Daphnia pulex: one gene and its partner. The protein of the gene in region 1 interacts with the protein of each later gene in a pairwise test. Links are inferred from orthologs where the notes say so. Each region holds a gene or a part of one and is shown on either strand. Other genes may lie near its edges.

Region 1 (10,730 bases):
GCGCAGTAAATATGCACCAGTTATGATGGGCCTCGTTTATAATCATATTATAGAGAAAAGAAGATTATGGTATCCACGTTAATAATTGACTGGAAGACCCCAAAAAGTTAATGTACTTGATATAGTTTTGTCTAGACAACAGAGTTAGTAGAAGAAAAGATTAGGAGGGGGATGTGAAACATGGAGGGATGTTAACTTGTCGCCGAGCAGAGGAGTTTTCGAGGTTGTTGGGAGGGGGAGGTTTCTTTTGCACAGACACGATTTGCTTTTTCCTTAAATGATTTTTGTGTATGTTTAATTACCTCCATCGAGTGCCGCCACCGGTAACTTTTTCCGACCTGTGGTAGTCATTGTCGGAAGTGATAAAAGCGTTGGGCAAAACAAAACAAAAAACAAAAATAAATAACCAAACAATAAAAAAAAATTGAAAGCGCATAAGGTCTACTGTGTGCAAAACACTAGTTCAATTAATCATGATTACCTGGCGGAAGGCGGAACGGAGCAGCTCCAAACGGATCTTCGGCAGCAGTGCCAGCCTCTGCAGCGTTCATCACTAAACTCTCTCTGCTTTTTACATTGACTATACCTGAAAAAACAAACAACGAAAACGTCAGACGGCCATTTCGTAAATAAACGAATCTGAAACAAGCTTACTGCTTTGGGAACCACGACGGATTTTATCAAACTCGGCACCGAACAGGTGATCTTCGTTCAGCTGACAAAAGGGCGATGGGTCGTCAAAGGGATTCCAGACGGCAACGTGACCTACCAAGGCCGCTCCATCTACAGCTGCCGCCATCGTGTCTGGCTGTCCGAATGGTTCGCCCGTCACTTGGGAGGGAGGCACAAATGATTTTAGAAATTGGTTCGTCTCGTCGGCGTAGCTTCTTATTAACGAGAAAAAATAATTAGATTAAATTTTGTTAATGTTGAGAATAACAATCTTTTTCTTACTTCGTGAAAGCCGAAGTGTCGCTCATGTTCCTACGATGCCTATGGTGTGAAGTGGGTGAAGCTGGTGGTGTCACCGACGACGATGGAGGGTCTAGCGATGCGGTCCTACCAGCCGACGGATTCAACCGAGGGGCGCTACTGCTGATAGACGAACGCTGAGCAATATCAGCCTCTTGTCGGGAATCAACCGAGCAAAGTGGATCAGCCGATTGCGTCTGGCTCGTCTCTCGAAATTCAACCGGCGTCAAGGCGGAAGGGGGAAGGCTGGCCGGTTGTGGCGAAACAGTAGCCGTAGAAGTTGGAGGACAACTAGGCACTGCTGCTGCGTTGGCAGCTGCGGCCGGATAGCCATAACCATAGTTGAAATAACCTTGACCGGATCCGGTTACCGGGCTAGGTTGGGAAGTTTCGACAAATGGATCTTGAGGGAAAGATGGAAAGAGCTCTTGCACTGATATCGGATTAGCTGGAGCAGCTGGTTGAAGCGGTGTAGGCTCAGCGGTAGTAGTTGGCAAGACGCGCCGAGCGGGATTCAGACTATTGGTAGGTAGTGGGATTTGACCTAGAGTACTGGTAATGGATGAAGCCTTGGGTCGTTGCCGAGGAGTGACGGTCGTCCCACCTTCAACAACAGGTGGCTGGCTGCTTAAAACCCTAGTACTTGGCATGCTTGGTGTAGTAATCGGCTTAACTTGAGCAGGTCGTGTATCAAGAGACGGAAGTTGATCTAGTTCGAGAGGCACGCTATGGAGGAGGTTTACGATGGGAGTTTCACCTCTACCAGCAAGTTTGAAAGCGGCATACGAGACTTGGTAGATGTCTGGCCTGCGATCCGAATCTGGATCGAGCATGTAGCGTACAAGTGAAACTAATTGCTTAGAATACCGGTGACCTTCAGGCAGATTAAACTGCCCGTTCTGGATGGCTAGTGTCGATTCACCAAAAGGAAGCGTGAAAAAGCAGAGCTTGTACAGGAGACAACCAAGGGCCCAAATATCTGCCTTGGTTGTGATGGATTTCCCCATGTATAAATCGACCATTTCGGGAGACCTACATATGGCATTATATAAGTTTTTTTTTTTTTTTACTTATTCCAACAGCAGTATAATTTTATATTACCTATAGGACAATGTAGTGTATTTTTTAATCTCTTCCTCAACAACAGCCACACCCATTGTGGATGGGTTAAGCACCTTGGCCGTAGCTGAACCAAAGTCACAAAGGACGTAATGGCCAGCGTCATTGAATAAAATGTTTTCCACCTGTGAAACACCGATTTAATAGTTTACATTCTTAGTCCAGCATTAATAAAATAAATCCTAGACATACTTTTAGATCACGATGTATGATGGGTGTCTGGCAGTGATGAAGCCGAGAAACAGCTTCACACATGTCACAAAAGATAGCCATAACTTCTGGCTCTGAGAAGCCTGTCTGCAGTCTTTCATTCATCAACTGGAGGACATGCATCTTGTAAAAGGGCATAAGGAGAAGCACCTCATACACCCCATTGCTTGACTGTGTGATGCTGGAGTCTATGTATCCAATAATATTCTTGTGCCCATTGAGTGTAGAAACAATCTGAATTTCTCTTCGGCAGGCAGCCAAGTCATGATCATTGTTGACATGCATACGTTTTAAAGCATAGCGACTGCCATTAGATGCCTTAACTAGGAAAACAATTGCAAAACCACCTAGAAAAGAATTCATGGATTAAAAGTGAAACAATTCAATATTATTTGATAATAAAATTACAAACCTTCGGCAATAATGTCTTCAACTGTGACAGAGTACTGTTTTCCCACTTGAAACACTTTTCCAACAAGGCTCTGACCACCTTTAGACTCCTTCTGAGAAGGGTCAATTTTTGTCTCAATTTTAGAGAATAATTTCTTCATGATTAACTATATACAGCCTGTGTGTTAGGGAAAAATATACGATATAGTGAAAATCTACAAATATAGAAAAGAAGCAACCGAGATATTGCGACATAAATTGACAGAAAAACTTACAGCTGAAGACAAAGAGATAATCCGAATCACGATTAACAGGAACGTCAAACTGGGGTGGCAGAATCACGACGAAAAAGACGTCATGCGAAATAAATGAATATCATTGGAACACGAATCCAAATAATTTTCTTATCTTCCGAAATTTCTCTCGTCTTCCGAACGGGATTTTGCTTCTTTTCCACCCCCTATAAAACCTGTCAGAAGCTTCACAAAATTCTCGCTTGAGCACTTGGCAGTGCAATCGGTTCTGTTGCCTAGCAACAGTCTATTGCAGACGACGCAGGAAACCAAATCAAAATAGTCATTTTGGAATTGAAGTGTTTCACGTGTCTGAAATATAAAAGATTTCCTGTTAGAAATAAAATGAGATATGCACAAATTGTCATTGGCCCAGCAGGCTCTGGAAAAGTAAGTTTAGATGAAAAACCAATCAATGTTTCCTTAAAAAAAGATGTAACAAAATGAATTTGTTTTTAGTCCACCTACTGCACTGAAATGCAACGACATGCTGAAACTTCTCGACGAAATATTCACATTGTAAATTTGGATCCAGCAGCCGAGTCTTTCGAATATAAACCGTCCATCGATATTCGAGACCTCATTCATGTGGACGATGCAATGGAAGATGAGGAAATGCATTTTGGACCAAATGGAGCTCTTGTTTTTTGTATGGAGTTTCTTCTGGAAAATTTGCCGTGGCTAGAGAATCAACTTGGAGAAGATGATGATGACTACTTCATTTTTGATTGCCCTGGACAGATTGAGCTATACACACATCTCAATGTTATGAAGAAATTGCTGGAAGCACTAGAGTTATGGAATTTCAGATTGTGTGCTGTCTTTATCTTAGACAGTCACTTTATGATAAACTCTTCATCATTTATATCAGCATCAATGGCTGCTCTAAGTGCCATGACAACCTTGGAGGTTACATTCATCAGCATCTTGAGTAAAATTGATTTGTTAAGCAAGAAGAGTAAAAAGCAACTGGAAAGGTGAGAACTTATCATTTCAACAGTTTTCCTCAACTAATGCCTGCATTTTGTGTAGATTTTTGGAGCCGGACGTGAAAGACATATGTGCGAACGATACGGTTGTGGTCAATTCAAAATGGAATCAAAAACATCAGATGCTTACTGAAATGATTGGCCGAGTTTTGGAAGACTATTCTCTAATCAAATTCGCACCGCTTAATATAACGGACGAAGACAATCTCGCCAATATTCTGTTCATGGTGGACAACTGCATGCAGTTTGGAGAAGACAGGTACCTTTCTAGTTATAGTAGCAAAGGGTTACAAAACAGATCAGTCATTCATTAATTGCTGTTCAGGGATATAAAAATGGCGGAATTTGATGCTCCTGACGAGGAAGACGAGGACAACGATGACGGTTACGAAGAAGGAAGGGGATGAGTCAATTAAATATCACTTACTTACGAATTTATTATTTCTTTTTCCTTGAAACACAATACACCGCAATTTTTTCAGCATTTCTGTATATTTTGTATTTTCAGATGACATTGATGTACATCATGTTATTGTCGTAACATTAGTGGTGTTAAGTGAAGATGGCGCTAGGATTTACGAAGGTTTATTCGATTTCGACTGTTGCTTCTTCTTCTGTTCTTCCAAGAAGTTGTGGAATGATTTCTGACCAACTCGGTCTTCTTCATCTGCCAAAAATTAATTATTGGTTATTAGGAATAAGCTAACTATATTCACAATCACAAAATATTTATGTATACCATCGTCGTCTCCAGGGCGCCCTTCGTGTTCTTCATCATCACTACTGGATTCTCCGCCGATGGCTCGATTGCGCAACAATATTTCAGATGTCGCACTTGATACACTTTGGGCTTGTACATCGTTGTCAAAATCGTGTTGAAATTTTTTCTTTTGGCGGTCTTTATCCTTCGTACGGGCTTCGGCTTGAAGTTTTAGCAAGCGATCATGTTCTGGGCAGTATTCTCTATGAAAGAAAATGTAATTTCAATAAGTTGTTCTGCCGAAATTAAATTTAAGTAATAGTCGTTTACGTTTCGTATTCAACAACGGCGGCATCGACAGCGGCCAGAAATTCTTCAAATCCTTCTCCAGTAACAGCAGAAAAACCAACAGTAGTGATATCCTTGTAGAATTCGTCTAATGTCAAAGACAAAGATCGTGATAGATTTGCATGGTGGCTCTTATCTCTTTCCACTGCCTCTTCAAACATCTCAAAATCTTTCATCCATTCCAGAGCAAACTTATGACTCACAACATCAATCTGCCAACAAAAAATTTATCAATTTTGATTTATCTATAATTTTGAAATATGACATACCTTGTTCATGACTATGATAAAAGGTAGTCTGAGTTTGTAGAGGATGGAGCATGCATATAGCATATTTGACATGAATGTTACAGGACTGACACTACGAACAGTATCTATAACATAGACCACTACTGTTGGGAAAAGAGCACCTAGTGTCTCTGAGATAATAGATCCAGAAGCTGACCAAGTGAAAACTTCAATTTGCCCTGGTGTGTCAAAAATAGCGATTTCTGTGTTTTCAGATTTTTTTTGTATCAGTTTGATAACTTGATCAAATTTTGTGGCAAAGAGATTTAACGAAGTGACAATGCCACCATTAGGTCCAAGTGAGTACTGTTTCATTACTTCCTAATGCAAGTAAAAAAATATTTATATATAAATGACAATTCAACAAGTAGGCAAAAATTGATGTCTTACTTTATAATTGACTGTGTCTCTTATGTCAATGTTGACTGGATAAGGTACTTCTCTACAAGCTGGATCTAAATTGATCACGTAAGGTGCCTTCTTTTTCATGTGTAGGAGACCCGTTAGCTGTTGTACAAATGTCGTTTTCCCCGAACCAGCCATGCCGAGAACAATTAAACAAACTGGTTTTTTGTGTCTCTCGAGCAAAGGTTGATCAATTTCTGCTTTTTTTACTGGATCTTCAGCTGTCGCCATGGTGAGTTTACAAAAAATTTAATTTGATAATGAACAATTTTTTTCTTCAGCTCAAAGACTAACGTGTTCAAACTACAAGCGAGAGCAAAAGAAGAAAACAAGAGAAAAACGTGTTTGTTTGAAAAGATGTCTGCTAGAAGAACTAGTGCTTCCCTCTATACTTCATTAATTTCGTCTGCACTTTGCCATTCTTTTACCAAATCCTCACTGAAGTGACACTGTCAGTCACGTGTAGATAACAGGAAAGCATTTAACTTGTGTGAGTTTTGATTCGTTCTGACGCAAATGGCTCCAACATTTTCAGATTCCGATGACGATTCATTCTTTGACGACGAGGATGAAGAAATTTCTAGTGATGAGTGCCAATCAAAGCCCATCACGGAACCGCAATCTAGCAAGCCAAAATTGAGCAAACATCTAGAGCAACTTCAAAGTAGACTAGGTACTTTAGAGCTTCTATATTTTTTTTTTTTTTTTTTTTATGTTCATGCAATTTTTAATTGTCATTCTTTTATAGGCCTCAAGGAATTAAAAAACAAACTTGCAACACCAATAGAAGAGCAGCCCAAACCATTGACAGTCGGGAAATCAGAGCCTCTAATTGTTGTATACAATGACCCTAGCAAACGAAAAAAGCTCAAGAAAAGCCAGGCTACACAAAATTCATTGTCTCAAGTAGAAGACAATTTTCCCGAACCAGAAGAATTTAACCTGATCAAGACAAAACATGAAGTTAAAAAATTTACTATAAAAGCCTTGAAGAAGACCAGCAAAAATCAAGCTCAGATAGCTCTTGCAGTGTCCCTAGGAGCAAAGCCTCCAAAGGCTATGCCAGTCAACTATAAAGTAATGCAGCACTGCAAGAAAAAGGAAGAAGGAAGACAAAAGCGACTCAAACAAGCTGAACACATATTTGCCACTAAATTACAATTACCAAACAAAAAGAAGGGTCCTAGGAGGGATAGAAATAAAGTGGTTAATTTTGATGCTGGTTTTGGAAAATTTGGTCCAAAACTTCAAAAACAAATTAAGAATGCAAAAAAATCTAAAAAATGACTTAATGAGAATACAATGTTTATTTGTGATATTTTCACGTCCTGGTAAATTATTTCCATAACAATTCGAATGAAAAACGTCAGTTTTCTTTCTTTTTTGTCACCACTTCGGATGTCGAGTTTTTATTTCTTTTTCTGGGGTTTGGGCTTAAATCGGTCCAGTACACTCGGTGCAGCAACTGGCTCGGATGGCGCTTTATCTGTTTTCTCTGTCAACGTTTTCGTCGCTTTTTCGGCAGCCGCCGCATGTTTCTAAGCAAATAGGAGTGGATTAAGAATTGGGCAGTTTAAAAAATTTAATGAGAAAACAAACCAGTCGTTGTTGTAACTGTAGACGTTGTTTGACGCGGAACTGATTAACCGTTTTAGCGTTTTTCCGCTGTCTGACGTCGATCTTTGGAGGCTTAACAAACTAAAGAGTAAAGTTAGATTTAAATACAAAAGAATAAAGCGTAACACAAATAAAAGTTTTTAAATAACCACTATACCATGTAACGAGTCTTTTCTTCGAACTTCTCAATCACTGATTGCCGATTGACTTCACCCAATTCGAAGGGATCCAAAGTAATGAGTTCAGGTTGAATCTGTTGAGGTAGTAAAGAGAATACGAAATTATTGTTTGAAGCAATTGGTAAAATATTTTGATTGTAACCTTTTCAAGAAGCGATTTGACTTCTGTTTCCCGTCGCTGGCTTTTAGTCTGGAACGGATTAGATTCGAGAGCATCGAAGTTGGGTTCTCCAGCTCCCGGTACCAACATGCTGCACATCCCTCTTGCGTGGCCTACGCCCAACACGTCTTCATAAGGACAAAATTTCAAGCCCGAAACCGAACTGCCAACGAAATGTTTTAAATACGGCTTGTGGATGGTTTCGGTACAAATGTCTTTATAGACCTGAAATAAAAATTGGTGAACACGAACCTCGATAAGGCTTTGCTAAATTAGAAAATAAATGTTGTCTAGTTAAATACCTCAACAATGTTGCCCATGGATACAGCCAACAGTCCTCTTTGACTGAATGTAATATTTGAAGCTCCACAGCCTAGTTTGTAGGATTGAAGACAATTGTAGGTTCTCAGGTCCCATATCTTCAGCGAACAATCTATAGAGGATGTGGCCATATAAACACCACTCTGGTCGACAGCGACCGATCGAACGGGCTGCGTATGGCAAAGCATTTTGACAACAGGCGATACGAAATTGGGAGTCCACATCGAAACTGTGCCCTTCGAGTGTCCGCAACAAAGGACAGCGTTTCTGGGATTGTGACACAGAACATCCAGTCTTCCAAGGTGTGTGTGAGTCCGCTTAACCATCTTTCCCATAGAAACATCCAGCCAACTTAAAGTTCCGCTATCGTTCTGTAAGAGACAAATAAATAATTAAATCGAGAGGATTTGAAAATGCATTATTATTTGCTTACTGTGGTAGCCAAGAGGAAATGATATGGAAGAAATTCCATCCTGAGAACATTGTTCAATTTCTTGATGCAGTGCACTTCAATGCCCTGATTGTCATAGATGTATGTCCACTCTTTCTGCGCTACTGCAAACAGTGTCTCATTGTGCAGCCAAGCCACATCGTGAACTGATTCCATAACGTTCATTTCGCAAGTCAACTGCTTCGTGACCCAATCGAAGGCAGCAACGTGACCCATTCTACCGCCAATGAGCATTTTTCGTCCATTACGTAAGTAATTGATGGCATACGGACCAAATTGCATGGATAAATCAAATTGTTTCGTGGCACTGGTAATATCCACAGAACTCTTGATCTGTACCTGCGTAATTTCCGAAGTGCAATCACCCTTGGCAGGCTCAAGGAAACCAGTTTCCTCTGGCAGCAGAATTTCTGATCTGGCTGCTAAGTTAACTGCATACTTGACGAGTTTTTCCTTTTTCTTCAAATGAATTCTGTTTGAAAGGAAAGTGACACCATTCTTGTCAAGGTCTTCTGCCTTTCCTCTTTTGTGCTTCTGGAGTCTGGCATGAGGAATCGGCGCATCACCTGGGAAAGGATCTTCTTCAGTTTGATTGTCTTGTGTATCTTCTTTCCCTTTTTGGCCAGTCTTCGGAGATCTTGAAAACTTCTGCACTGCACCCGAATTAGGAGTTTTTCCATGTGAAGACTTAAACTTTGGTAGTTGTCTCTTAACCACGCGACCTTCAGCTTTTTTAGTAAAAGTATTGTTAGGTTTTTTATTCTTAGTTTTTCGGAGTAAATGTTCGTCCTTTGGAGGCTTGAATTTCTTTTTCAGATTTTGTGTTGCAGTTGAGGGTACTTCACTAGCTGGCTTTTTTTCGCTGCCTTTCGGAGAACTCATTTTGAAAACAGAAATAGTTTATTGCTCAAACTGTGTTAATTTCTTTGAATGATACTGCAGTCGAACGCATGCCCACGTGAGTAAAAAATAAATGAAACTTCAGTTAAAAATTTGGATTTTAATTCGTCTGCTAGCAAAGTTGCCACATTAAAATAATGTAATATAGCAGACGAGAATTAGAAAAGAAAAAAGTTCAAAATTCAAACGAATAAAGAATTTTCAAATTTCAAATTTAACATCGGACATTCTTACATAAACCATGACCACGCGTACTACTATGAACACTTATTACATGTTTCATAAAAAACATTTGTCCGGCAAATAATTAATCAGCAGATATAGGCAACTGACTGACGTATAATCCCTGTCCCCTAATTTAATGCATCAAATTAATTTTAAAAACAACGTACCCTTTCCTCCCTTCAAATTAAAATTGTATGGATTATGTGTTATGTCTCTTAGTTTCGAATTATGGGGAATTAAAAGTCGTTGTGGGATACGACGAAAGTACAACAGTGCAACCGCAACATTTCCGTCAGGACGATCTAAATAATGATATCACATCTCAACCTTTAAGCGTCTTTATTTTCGGTGTATTCACTGTTGATAAAGGTCGTGAATTTTAGGCGGTTTGTGTCTTCCTGGAACTGGGACCATCAGCAAGTTCGCCCAAAAATCGAGACGTAGAGACTTTTGAGAGATTTAACTTGCCATTTTACGCAGCAAGTCACGGAAATTGAAGGTCATACTAACAGCAAAGGGGGCTTCACGGAAACAGGTGTCGTTCCTATCAGTTAGTGTTTGTTTCAGCTGCCGCTTATGACTATAGGTATAACACAATATTAAAATAATAAGGAGTGATCCAGTGATGAAAAGTGTATAATGTTGGCTTAGGCAGATTTTTTAAGATTATAATCCTGAACGGAATATGTTCAGTTTGTAAAAAAACTTGCTGGCACAGAATGATTCGGGAGATTAGGGCATTTCAGTATAAGACGATTGCATAGGAAATTGCTGTAAAGGGCTTAATCCGGACACTATAAGAAATAATCAGTCGAATGAGATGTCCAAGAAAAAGCCAGACTCACGCATACGGTTCGAGAATTATGAGAGAACAACTTTGACAGCTCATGGAAACCTCTAGGTATACCTACCTATACACTGATGGAACTCTAAGCCATGCTCTAAGTTCAAACACAAAATTGTTGTTAAGCTTCTACAACGTTGTAAACCAATTTTGTTTTCTTTTAATGGCATAAAACAAAATCGCCCTCATTGGACAATTTCGAAATTATAGGTATAAACACAATATAGTAAACAAATGTAGAAAATTAATTTATTCAAGTGCGCACGTATGTGTAACGACTAACGATCGAATTAATCGATCTCTTTCATCTTCTCTCATCT
Region 2 (11,100 bases), on another chromosome or scaffold:
AAAATTCGAATTTCAAACTGCTAGCGGTGATGGATGTTACCAACCAATCAGAAGCCTCAGTCTCATGATCCTCGAGTTCCCCTTCCTTTCGAATTTTTTTTCGACCTCGTGTTGAAATCTTTTTTTCTGGTTACTGGTTAGTTAAGGGCATCTTCCAGACGAAGGCAGTCACCACTTCAGTGGTGTCCAGAAATTCGTGAATCAAGTAGCCATTCGATCGAAACCTTTACATATTTTTTAATTCATTTAATATTTCAACATGGGAAGCTGCAAAGAATTTGAAATAGACGAGATTTTGGCTATTCAGAAGAGAGAAGAAAGCTTGATGAAGCTCATGCAAGAAACTGGCTGCGAAATCATTCAAGAAAATGGTCAACGGAAATTCGGCGGTCCTCCTCCAAGTGAGTAACGTTCAAATTCATTATCTTCCGTACCCACTTTTTCCTTTAATTTTGGCGGGCTTATGTTGCAATATTGAATCTTTTTTAAAGGCATGAATTATTGGCATTCACGACTTCAAGTGTTAAGATTTATTAATTTACCCCTAGTGCACGTTGTTAAGTTGATAATGTAGTCCTTAATGCTCACGTTATCAAAACAGATTGGGAAGGCCCTCCCCCTCCTAAAGGGACTGAAATATTTGTGGGGAAATTACCACGTGATGTGTTCGAAGATGAATTGTATCGAATCTTCTCTACAATCGGCCCCATCTACGAGCTCCGTTTAATGATGGATTTCAGCGGCTCAAATCGTGGCTTTGCCTTCATCCAATTCGCTCACCGACAAGATGCCAATCGCGCGATTCAGTTGATGGACAACTATGTATGTGCATATAGAACACTATTCAACACTTTTGAAATAGAACACATGTTATGTACTATTGATGATCTTATTTTATCCAGGAATTGAGACCAAGACACCACATTGGCGTGGTCAAATCGATCGACAATTGTCGCCTATTTATTGGAGGTATACCTAAAACCAAATCTCGCGAAGAAATTCAGGGTGAAATGGAAAGGCTGACCGAAGGCGTAACCAAAGTCATCGTTTACAGGTGAGTCTGTTTAAATTATTTTAAATCTATTTAACCTTAAGCTTTACGTTTTTGCATTCAGTTCCATCACAGATAAAACTAAAAATCGTGGTTTTGCGTTTGTCGAGTACATTAATCATCGTGCAGCTTCCAAGGCCCGTAGAAAGTTGATTCCCGACCGCATTCAGTTGTGGGGTAAAGAGATAGCTGTTGACTGGGCCGAACCGGAAAATGAAATCGAAGAAGACGTCATGTCGCAAGTATGATTATTGCATTAATCGTGTAACCGAACCAGAGTTGAAATATATTGTTTCTCGTTTAGGTTACGGTCCTGTACGTCCGCAACTTGTCGCTGACAACAACAGAACAAGTTCTGCGTGAATTATTCAACCGTGTATCAGACGACAATGTGCAGAAGCTTAAAATGATGCGTGATTTTGCATTTATTCATTTTTCATCCAGAGAAAAAGCTGAGAAAGCCATGCGCAACATGAATCGTAAGTCATTTTATTCCTCGTGTACGGCAGTTAATTTAATGTGCTTTAATTTTAAAACTTTACAGATACGGAGATCAATGGCACGACGATCGAAATTACTTGGGCAAAACCAGTCAAGGAGAAAAAAGCGATCAAATCTAAGCCGCCATCGAGAAAAACGTCTTCGGTTTCGATGAACTCGGTCTCTTCTACTTCGTCGTACAGTCCTTGCAAACCGGCACCAAAGTTTGCTCTTTCCGCTCAGAACAACCGCATATTGTCATCGCCGCCACCACGTCCGGTTCAGTGTCCCCCGGTCACTTTGCCACCGTGTACAATGATGCAACAATTGCCGCATCCGTTATCCAATCAGATTCCAAAGTAATCGTAACTTAAATGAATGTTCTTGCTTGAAAAGTTGCTAAATTATTAATTTTCCCACAGCGTCTTTACTTTGCCTCCTCCATTCCACGGCGGTGGTTTTCAGTCAAGTCCAACTGGATTTCCTTCGAATTCGTCGACATCAGTTTTCCCACATCAAGGAAATTTCATGCAAGCCGCAACTATTGACCTCAACGTAATTTTCTTGTATTTAAAAATCTATCAAGTCACCGTAATTTTTATTTTTTTATTAATAGGGAAATCGTAACTACAACACTCATGGCATTATGGCGGATACCAACAACCGCATGCGCAAAACTACTGATCCGGTAAGATTACAATTAAAATTCGACCATCAGGGTTAATGTTTACTTTACCATTTCTTTTTCTTTAGATGATGTTCACTAATTTTGGACCACCGCTTCATCCGCAACCGAACTGGGTAAATTTTAAACTAGTATTTACTATTAGTAGAGTTTCATTAATTTAGGGTTTTATTCCTATTAATTCAGATGGCAGAGGAGCGTAGTCGTTCTGGGATGACTCGCGACTCACTTAAGTTCCCGATGGATGGCCTCAACACTCAGTTTCACAAGCTGGGCTGTATTAACAACTTGAATCGCGTGGGTTTTAATGGAAACGTCAGTGTAAATCCATTCCAAATCATCTCACCTTTCCCGTCTCGTCCAATGATGCCGTAGATATCCCACATATTTACTTATGGTTATTCGGGTATGGAATTCCACCTGCCAATGAGGCATTTTCTTTTATTAATGTACTTCATTCTCTTATTTTTATTACTCCGTTTGAAGTTTCACACTGCATTGATAGTTTTCTCAGTGCAAATCTGATGCATTTTAATGTCTTTTTCCCCTTACTCTTTGTCCCACAGAACCAATTGCAAACTTCAACTTAACTTATTTGATTTCTTAACGTAAATTACCATTAATGTCAACCATAAATTAACATTTTGATTAATAAGAATATTTACAAGGATTTCTGATTTACGTAGATACTTAAATACTGAAGGTTACCTTCTGTTTCAATTTCAGAGCAAATTTTTTATAAAAATAGCATTAGAAATATTTAGAAGTTCATCCATGAACGAAACAAATGCTAAATTTAAAAATCAAACAAATTCTTTATAGTATTTCAAAATAATTCCAAAACAATTTATTTTTCTTTTTACTTCGATTTGCGTCCAAATGGATTTTAATAATTTTGTGAGTCTTCAATGGGTTCTGTGGGTTGCATCATTTTTCCTTAACTGTTGATTATTGTTCTGTATCACTTTCAATGTTTGTGCCTTGAAAAATATTTAATCCAGTTCTCATTCTTATTATTTATGGAAGCAAAACGAAACATGTACTTTCTGACTTGCTGTTCCAATAAACCCGATTAAGAAAATCATGCCTCCGAGTTGTTTTTTAATTATTAATTTTTTTCCATTGGAAACCATAATCCTATTTGCAAGTGTGTTCGACTTCTAAGTTGCCTGATTTATAGGATAACCAAGGACCTTGCCTCTTTAGTTTACTAATTTTTCTTTGATGATGAACACAAAAACGAATAAAATTCAAAAATTGAGGGAATATGAAACCATCTATTTAAATTCCGAAAGGGGTTTAGATTCATCGACAGACATGGAATTTTCGTTATCAGATGCTTCATCCTCATCACAGTTATTAGAGCTCAGAAATTTTTCACTTATTGTTCCAGAAAACTCGCCATGAAATTGTGCACCCACAGCTGTCGATAGTAAGGCAACGATATTTCTTTCATTTTCTTCGCCGGCTCCAAACACATAACCATTAGCTTTGTCTACAGCAGCACGAACATTCTTTAGTAATTGGGAGTCAGAGATGGATAGAGGCAAGAACGAAACAAAGCTGTAGTTTTCTACCACATCAATTAAAGCAGCATTTAACTGCCGATATTTCTTCATGAAAGGATCCGCATTGATTGCTTCCAACAGGTAATTCAAATCCAACACCTCAGTGTAAAAGTCGAGACCAAAGTGCAGCCGTCCATGTTGTTCAGCCAGGTCTACTTTAGACAGTACGTTAACCTGTGGCATTTCCATTTGGAACATGGATGTCATGGCCGTTAACAACACCGATATGAATTTACCTGATACAAATGTTTGGTTACTATGGTTCTATCTGTTAACAAATGCGGGTTTACCTGGATCACTGCAATAGTGAGAGTCGATCAGTTGAACACAGCATAAACGAAAACCAAATGCTTCTAACTGTTTCATAATGTTTTTTACAGAATTGTTGTGGGTATAGAGCTCAACCTACACAAAAAAGATTATTACAACTTTTCTAGAAAACAGTATCACCTGTATTCAATATACCTGTCCCGGTAGATCGAAGATGAAGTAATGATCTTTGAATTTCTCTATTTCCACAAAGAGCCAGTCCAAATTCTTTTCGAGGAATTCCATACAATAGACCAAGGCGCCGTTCGGACCCAAATTGTAATTTTCCATTACATCTTGGACAGTAATCAATTTTGATACATCAATGGAAGAGGTAAACGGTAATAAATCATTCCCAGGATCTAATCACAATCATATTAGAGATTTTGATTGGAAAAGTATAATAACATTTTAAAATACCTAAATTAACTAGAGCTACTTTACGATTCTGGGATCGAAGGAAATCCGCCATTGCATGACAATAAGTGGACTTGCCGCTACCGGGAGGACCTTATAACATTACACGGTAAAAATGTGTAGCAAATTTACGAACGTAATTTCTACATACCGATAACGGCTTGGCCGAAGATGGTTTTTCTTACAGACATGTTGGAAAATTTATGCAGATTTTTCGGTGAGGGAAAGGTTGATCTTTAGGAATTCGCCAACTTGACGAAGAGTTTTCGGCTGATAGTCTTTAAGTGACAAGGCAAATAAAATGTTTTGCTGTGTTGGAATAAAGTTCACCAAGAAACGTGCAGCAACGTGAATTTCCTCGTCGTCTCGACCGAATAAGACTCTACAAAATTGCAATGAAAGTTAAAAAAACGAAACGAAATTGAGACGACATACAAGAATTACCGAACGCTGTAAACTGCACTGGAAGAATCGTCTTTCTGAGCAACGTCCCGACGGACTTCAACCACGTTTCCCACCTTGCCGTATTGAGTAAGTATGATAAATAACTTGTCGCTAAAAAGGACAATGAATTAAAGTGTAAGTAATGCAAGCAATGAACTAAAGAATTATTCCAACCTGAACTTTGAAATGACAACTTCTGTTGAATTCCCGTTAATCTCGATAGTTTCTGTTTTAGTCTGGACGGGAAATCTTCCCGCTACACCTTCCATATCAAACGATATCCAACCTGAAAGATATAAAAATGGTTCGTAAAAATTAGTGGTCGTATAACAGAATGGAAAGCAATAAAATGGTAATTGACGTCAACTAATTATGATGTGATAAATGCATTTTTTTTTAAATTTTATCCAATTTATTGATCACAATAATCAAAAATTTTTTAAAACTCTAGAAACCATTCTCCTCTTGTAAAAACGTTGATACTCTTCAGGCAGCATGGACAGGTGTTTCAGAGCAGATTCAACCATCTCCAACGCCTGCAGTTTGAAAGTTGAGATAGAAAAATAACCGAGGCCCTGAAGCTTTGACAGTGCCTTACTTTTGAGGCCGGTAGCGGATCTTTGTTGCCGTAAGGGTCTTTTTTATCGTACACCTCTGGACTCAAGTTTCGCCAGAAAACGTTGACTGCTACGGAGAACTCGAGTGATGTCATATTATGAAACCACAGAGCCGGGATGAAAAGAACGTCTCCGGGCTCCATGATACATTCGTGAGATGTTACTTTGGCGAACTCCGGAAAGTGTTCCAGATCAGGAAAATCAATGTCGATAACCCGAGATTTGTCGCCTTCCAAATAGAGATACGGAAGGTCTTCTGGCGAATAGAGAACGGCTCGTTTTTTGCCAGTGACTTGGACAAGAAGATTGTCCATCACATCGTAATGTGTCCACAACTGAACTCCTTCAGAAGCCACCCTGAGGACACTTGAAAAAATAGTGCTTGGTTCCAAAAACTTGGGAACTTGAAAATCTTGGCAAAGTTCAGGATAATGAGAATCAAGATTGGCAACCTCTCTTCCCCTTGAATCAGTTCCAAGTGCCCTTAAATAGTAAACTTCACTGTTTGTTAGAAAAAAGTTTTCGTGCTCATTTTCAGAAGACCTTTTGATTACTTGATCAAACGGCAGTGTTTTATAATGAAAGTTTTTGGTTAGGAAATTCATTTGCCCTGTTTCAGATACATGAATCTTCACTGGCTTATTCCCAACATTTTGCGAAAGATATTCAGCTGTCCACTTTCCTAGACAACTTCCAATGTCTAATCCTCTGAGTATGACAGGACTTCGTTTGGGATGGATCTCATCAAAAAATTGTTCCATTAGGATATTGTTATAGACGGGAACTGGGCTGACTTTTCTTTCAGTCATTTTAAAATTTACTCTACTAACGAAAGATGATCACGTGTAAAAACTTGCTTTGGCTATAACAATTGAATGTTACCTGCAAGGCGAAATGATAAAACTAATAACTATCGATAGACCGGTTCAATATACAGTTAAATTAACAGCAATGCACTTACCAAAAGCAGAGAATTAACTTCAACGGTATTGTTGTTTCGAATCAACTTTCAAGAGGAAAAATTTGAAGGAAAAATATGTTACAGCGACTGCAGACGGACTAAAACGAATAAACAACGTTGCAATTTGATCTAGATGTTTAATTTAGGTGGATCATCAACATTTATCAACTAAAATACAAATAGAAAAATCTATTGCAATAATTATTTTAAAATAAAAATTCTTAAAAAAAAATAAATCACCGAGATTATGTTTGTCCCAAAACGATTAAAAATAAAACAGCAGACTATTTTACATCAGAAAGGCGAGTAGATCGAATGTATTTTCCACTTTGAATAAACATAAAATAACACAGAATTCACAAAGAATCAATCATTTGACACAGAACACGATCCTCCTCAGTACACCCATTCCCAGAAGTTTGGTTGCTTGCATTGCCTTCTGAAGGTTGAACCCGTTCAACATCTATAAGGAGCTTGATGTTGCCTTCAGTTGGTTCAGGAATTGTGTTGACAGCCTGCTGAACCAATTCCCAAGCTTTGTCAAAATGTCTTCTGAAACGCTCTGCAATTTCCAATCTTTGTCGTTTTTGTTGTTCTAGCATAACTCTAAGAGTTTCCCTTGCTTGATGAGGCCGAAATTCATTGACCAGATGATGCATGTGAATGAAAAGCAAAGTGAGGTCATCAATTTTTGTGGCTCTTGCTTCAGACTCTGGATTTCGTATGCAGATATCAACCAAGTCAAGGAAACTAGCAGTGATGGAGTGATTGAGCTTTTTCAGTTCTCTTCTGTGGTCATAGTTATTAGGGTACAGACGTCGTATATTCTGGAATAGTAAAACGAGTATTAAAGAAAGCTTTGATTAAGAAAAAACTTCTATCACCTGGCTTTCAAGAGGTCGGATCACAGCATCATCAGTATTATATGGATTACCAAACATGGAATAATTGTCTGTGATCGGAGGAGGTGGTCTCGGTGTTCTTCCTCTTTTAGCGTTTTCTTCATTAAAAAGACTGACATATTGCATCGGTGGCAAAGGTAATGAACTAACTTGAGCCGTTTCTGACATTTTTACTTTCCCACTGGAATGAAGCAATATAGTAATGTAAACAATATAGTTTGTTTTCAAGAATGAAGAATGTGACGTTTTCTAGTTCGTTTGCTTGGGGATTTCAGCAGACTATTTTTTGATCAATGTTCTCCTTTTTGTGGCTGTCCCGACACGCCATTCTTGAATGGAAACAAATTTGATTTAGAATGTTGTAAAAGAATTCAATTTTACATTAAATTGTCATTAAATCAATTAATCGTTGTTTATTTTTTTATTTTAAATGTATATTTCCTCGATTTTATCGCTAATTTTCGGAGGAAATTAAATCCGATAATAGTTGTCGGCAACTGCCGCTAGATCTGTCCGAGTTGCCAGTATTTAGAGAGGTTTGGAGAGCTTTTTCTTCGTCCTGCTTTCATTCTCTTCGTACCAGGGTCCAGGGAGAAAGACAATGAACGAAGTTATAACAGCTTTATCAAGTGGGGACTACTTTTTTGATTAGTGATCGTTTTGTAAGTATGTTTAAAAGCTCTGCCAAACCTCTTGCAGGTGAGGTAAAAAAGCAAGGCAATTTAGTGAAACGATCACAGAACAAGAAGAGGTTTAGTTTGATCAACTACAAGAGTCGATGGTTCGTCCTTACCACAAAGTTCCTCGCCTACTACGAGGGCGAATGCGAGGTAAGGTTTAGTTCTACTAAACACGCATGGACTGTGTTCGTGAATCCCTTCATCACTAATTCATCACAACCATCAATTCCAAACAACAGAATCGCAAAGGAAAAGAAAAGGGACGTGTCGACCTCCAAACAGTGAAAGTTGTGGAAGCTGTTGATCCAGCACCTGACACACCTGCCATCGGTCCATTGGCAAACCTTACAGGTTCCATTCCGAGTGATTTGAAGGGATCTCCTGCTTTTCAGATAGTGTACAATCCTTATGAGTGTAATGAAGGTTGTAGTGCAACAGACTTGACTCTTTGCATTTTCACTCCCACTCAGCAAGAAAGAGATATCTGGCTTTGGAATATCCGAGTTGGTGAGAACATTCTCTTTTGACGTCTCAAGTAGTTATGTGTGACAAATAGCAGTATTTATCTCACATGTTCATTTTATCTCATCTAATAATTTATTTTATTTTTCTCCTGATAGTGGTCAAAGACAGTGCTCCTCTTGTGAATGTGTATCACCCTGCCCTGTGGGGGAATAGAAGTTATCTTTGCTGTGGATCAACCCAAAGGTCCACGTCTAAGGCAATAAACGGTTGCCGTTCTGTAACTTGGGCTCCCAATACACTTCAACACATGGGCATCAATTTCAGTAACATCATCCACCATCCGTCTCCCTCACCAAGTCCTGTCGCTAAACCTGCGAATGGGGCTGAAGTCGAGGCGGCCATGGTCAAACCAACGGCGATTAAACCCACGACGGAAATTCATCCGGCAATCGTCGGGGATGTTGTTCCTGCATCCCCTTCCACTTCTCACAACGCCGTTGTTGCGTTAGGTACTATACCCGCTTATGTATCCTACTAAGTGCTAACTAATGATTTACACCCGTTCGTTGCCTGCAATACTTCTAGGAAACAGTAGTTGTACGACTTCTAAGTACATGAACAACAGTTAATGTTGAGTTATTTCGCATCAAATCCTTAGTCAAGGACTTTGGGAGGGAGGGGGATTTAAGCCAATAGAAGCACATTCTAAGAAACTGCGTCGTTGGAATAGATTCAATTTGTTTTCCTTGTAAAAAAAACTAAATGGATAAAGTTATTACATCCACTTCACTTGCGAAGCTAAATTATCGGATAGCTGAAAAGATCAACTAATTATTAGAAAACTAGAGAAGTGAGTGTTGCGTGTGGCGCTGCAGTGGTTTAGAGAAAGAAAACTTGTGTGAGATTGGTACTGGCAATATTCATGAAAATTTTCTCTATTGAAAAATGTTGGGGATTTGCGGTCGGTCGGAGAGAAGAAGACCTAGAGAATGCACACAAGCTTGTTTTTCCCCGAGATTTTTTTATTCCTTTCGGCGGTTTTTAGTTCTAGCCCTCTCCCTGTACTCAGTGGGCACTGACCGCGTCTCTCATAAATCACGTTTCTTTTTCTCTAATGACGAGAAGAGGACTGCACATCTCATCAAGTCCCGTGTGAGAGCGAAAGCAAACGACAAACTGGACTATTCCTACGCGAAAGTGTGGGAGAGATGATGAAGCCAGCACAGCACAGTCTCTCATATCTCTCAGAAAAACAGCCTACGTTTGTTTCATTCAGATACTGAAATAGTTACCTGTCAGTTCGATTAGTGTTGCGCTTGTGTTTACGAGATAAAAAATAACGTGAGAATTATTGATAAGCTTCCACCTGCTGCCTTGGTCCATTGTTCAAATCTATTTTGTTGTAGTGCAAGTTTTGCAGTCAGCTCGCCCCTACCTATTTTGTTTCTCTAGTTTCAATGCGTGTATGTAAGTTTTACGTACATGGCTGATGTTTCAGAGGTTTTAACGGGCAAATTATGCGCATTTTTGGTTGCCGCTGGCCTATTTGGTCCACAATGTCTTCGGATTCTCTCTCTTATAAGATCACCGAAAGTAAATTGACTCTAGGTATGGTTCGGCTTCACCGTGTTGTGTTGTTTTTTTCTCTCATCGGTTTTCTTCTCATGTTACTACCCTTGAGCAATCGAAAATCGCACAGGCTATTCACGTTGACTCCCACCTGAAAGTCACCTGTTGAATGACTCAACAGGTGTTCAATGCGTTAAGTTACAATCGTAAACCATCGCGGTGGGTCTTTATGTGCACTTGGGTTTGGCTTGCCTTCCGACAAATTTCTGGAATTCAATTTCTAATTTTAATCTGTTGTATTTGAATGCTTGCGAGGGCAATCATTTCTTATGCGGTTGTGTTGTATGGAAAATATTTACATTTGTGATTTATTGTTTTCTTCGGGATTTCCCTAGTCCCCTTGCAGAAAATCCAGTATGTGAGATTATACCACAACTTATCTGTTGTCCGTTAATTCCTGTTTTCTTGGTTTCAACGTTTGAAAGTAGTAGTAGCGATAGAAACTTGTCGACAGTCTTGTGTGGTTGCGTGTTTCAATTCCCTCGAGCGTATTCTAGTGCCGTGTGTGTGTAAAGTGAGTTGGATGTTGATTAGATTCAAATCGACGGGAGCTCGGCTGACCTCACCTCCTCTTTCGTCAGCCAGAAATGGTCCAGACTGGACGTTGCAAGTTTTTCCTTTTCTTTTTTGGGACTATTAGAATAACTATTAGAAAAGTAAAAACCCGTCCTTGTTTACGAGTTTCTGACACGCGTACAATTCAAAGGAGCGCGTTAAAGAGAAGGGGAGAAAGTTCCCTCCTCAATTTCTCATACCGGTATCGAGTCTGCTAGGAAAAGCCTTCCTTATATCCATTGTTCGCCTGTGGTTGAATAGAAGACGCAGCAACGATTTCTCCCACACTCGTTTCTCCCATTCTATCCTTTTTTCTCTCTCTCTCCCCTCTTTTTCT

What was found. The genes of interacting proteins can lie anywhere in the genome.
Region 2: the proteins of GPN-loop GTPase 1-like (region 1) and GPN-loop GTPase 2-like interact in binary tests that used the Homo sapiens proteins (3 or more experiments, as listed by UniProt). The link is inferred for Daphnia pulex from reciprocal best matches to the Homo sapiens genes GPN1 and GPN2.

What each region holds. Positions count from the first base shown.
Region 1 is NC_060025.1:7,098,018-7,108,747, forward strand, and holds GPN-loop GTPase 1-like, read right to left. Parts: upstream 6,068-10,730; 5' UTR 5,945-6,067; coding exon 5,699-5,944; intron 5,630-5,698; coding exon 5,291-5,629; intron 5,234-5,290; coding exon 5,004-5,233; intron 4,937-5,003; coding exon 4,713-4,936; intron 4,641-4,712; coding exon 4,549-4,640; 3' UTR 4,393-4,548; downstream 1-4,392. Other genes in the region: AP2-associated protein kinase 1-like, read right to left, coding at 303-338, 482-586, 655-887, 955-2,004, 2,074-2,216, 2,284-2,648, 2,714-2,852; GPN-loop GTPase 3-like, read left to right, coding at 3,330-3,374, 3,444-3,961, 4,017-4,232, 4,299-4,380; uncharacterized protein C1orf131-like, read left to right, coding at 6,230-6,386, 6,462-7,000; WD repeat-containing protein 46-like, read right to left, coding at 7,123-7,251, 7,313-7,411, 7,488-7,583, 7,652-7,894, 7,972-8,361, 8,424-9,323. UniProt on the Homo sapiens protein: Small GTPase required for proper nuclear import of RNA polymerase II (RNAPII). May act at an RNAP assembly step prior to nuclear import.
Region 2 is NC_060019.1:10,645,616-10,656,715, reverse strand, and holds GPN-loop GTPase 2-like, read right to left. Parts: upstream 6,681-11,100; 5' UTR 6,533-6,680; intron 6,454-6,532; exon of another isoform or gene 6,381-6,453; coding exon of another isoform or gene 5,553-6,380; intron 5,491-5,552; coding exon of another isoform or gene 5,383-5,490; exon of another isoform or gene 5,241-5,382; 5' UTR 5,224-5,240; coding exon of another isoform or gene 5,129-5,223; intron 5,066-5,128; coding exon of another isoform or gene 4,955-5,065; intron 4,893-4,954; coding exon of another isoform or gene 4,712-4,892; 5' UTR 4,702-4,711; coding exon 4,662-4,701; intron 4,604-4,661; coding exon 4,514-4,603; intron 4,456-4,513; coding exon 4,250-4,455; intron 4,190-4,249; coding exon 4,075-4,189; intron 4,021-4,074; coding exon 3,494-4,020; 3' UTR 3,474-3,493; downstream 1-3,473. Other genes in the region: probable RNA-binding protein 46, read left to right, coding at 260-401, 602-822, 903-1,054, 1,116-1,293, 1,356-1,530, 1,596-1,890, 1,954-2,086, 2,148-2,219 and 2 more; proteasome assembly chaperone 3-like, read right to left, coding at 4,712-4,892, 4,955-5,065, 5,129-5,223; mediator of RNA polymerase II transcription subunit 7-like, read right to left, coding at 6,889-7,359, 7,417-7,602; tyrosine-protein kinase Btk29A-like, read left to right, coding at 8,103-8,264, 8,354-8,621, 8,735-9,088. UniProt on the Homo sapiens protein: Small GTPase required for proper localization of RNA polymerase II and III (RNAPII and RNAPIII). May act at an RNAP assembly step prior to nuclear import.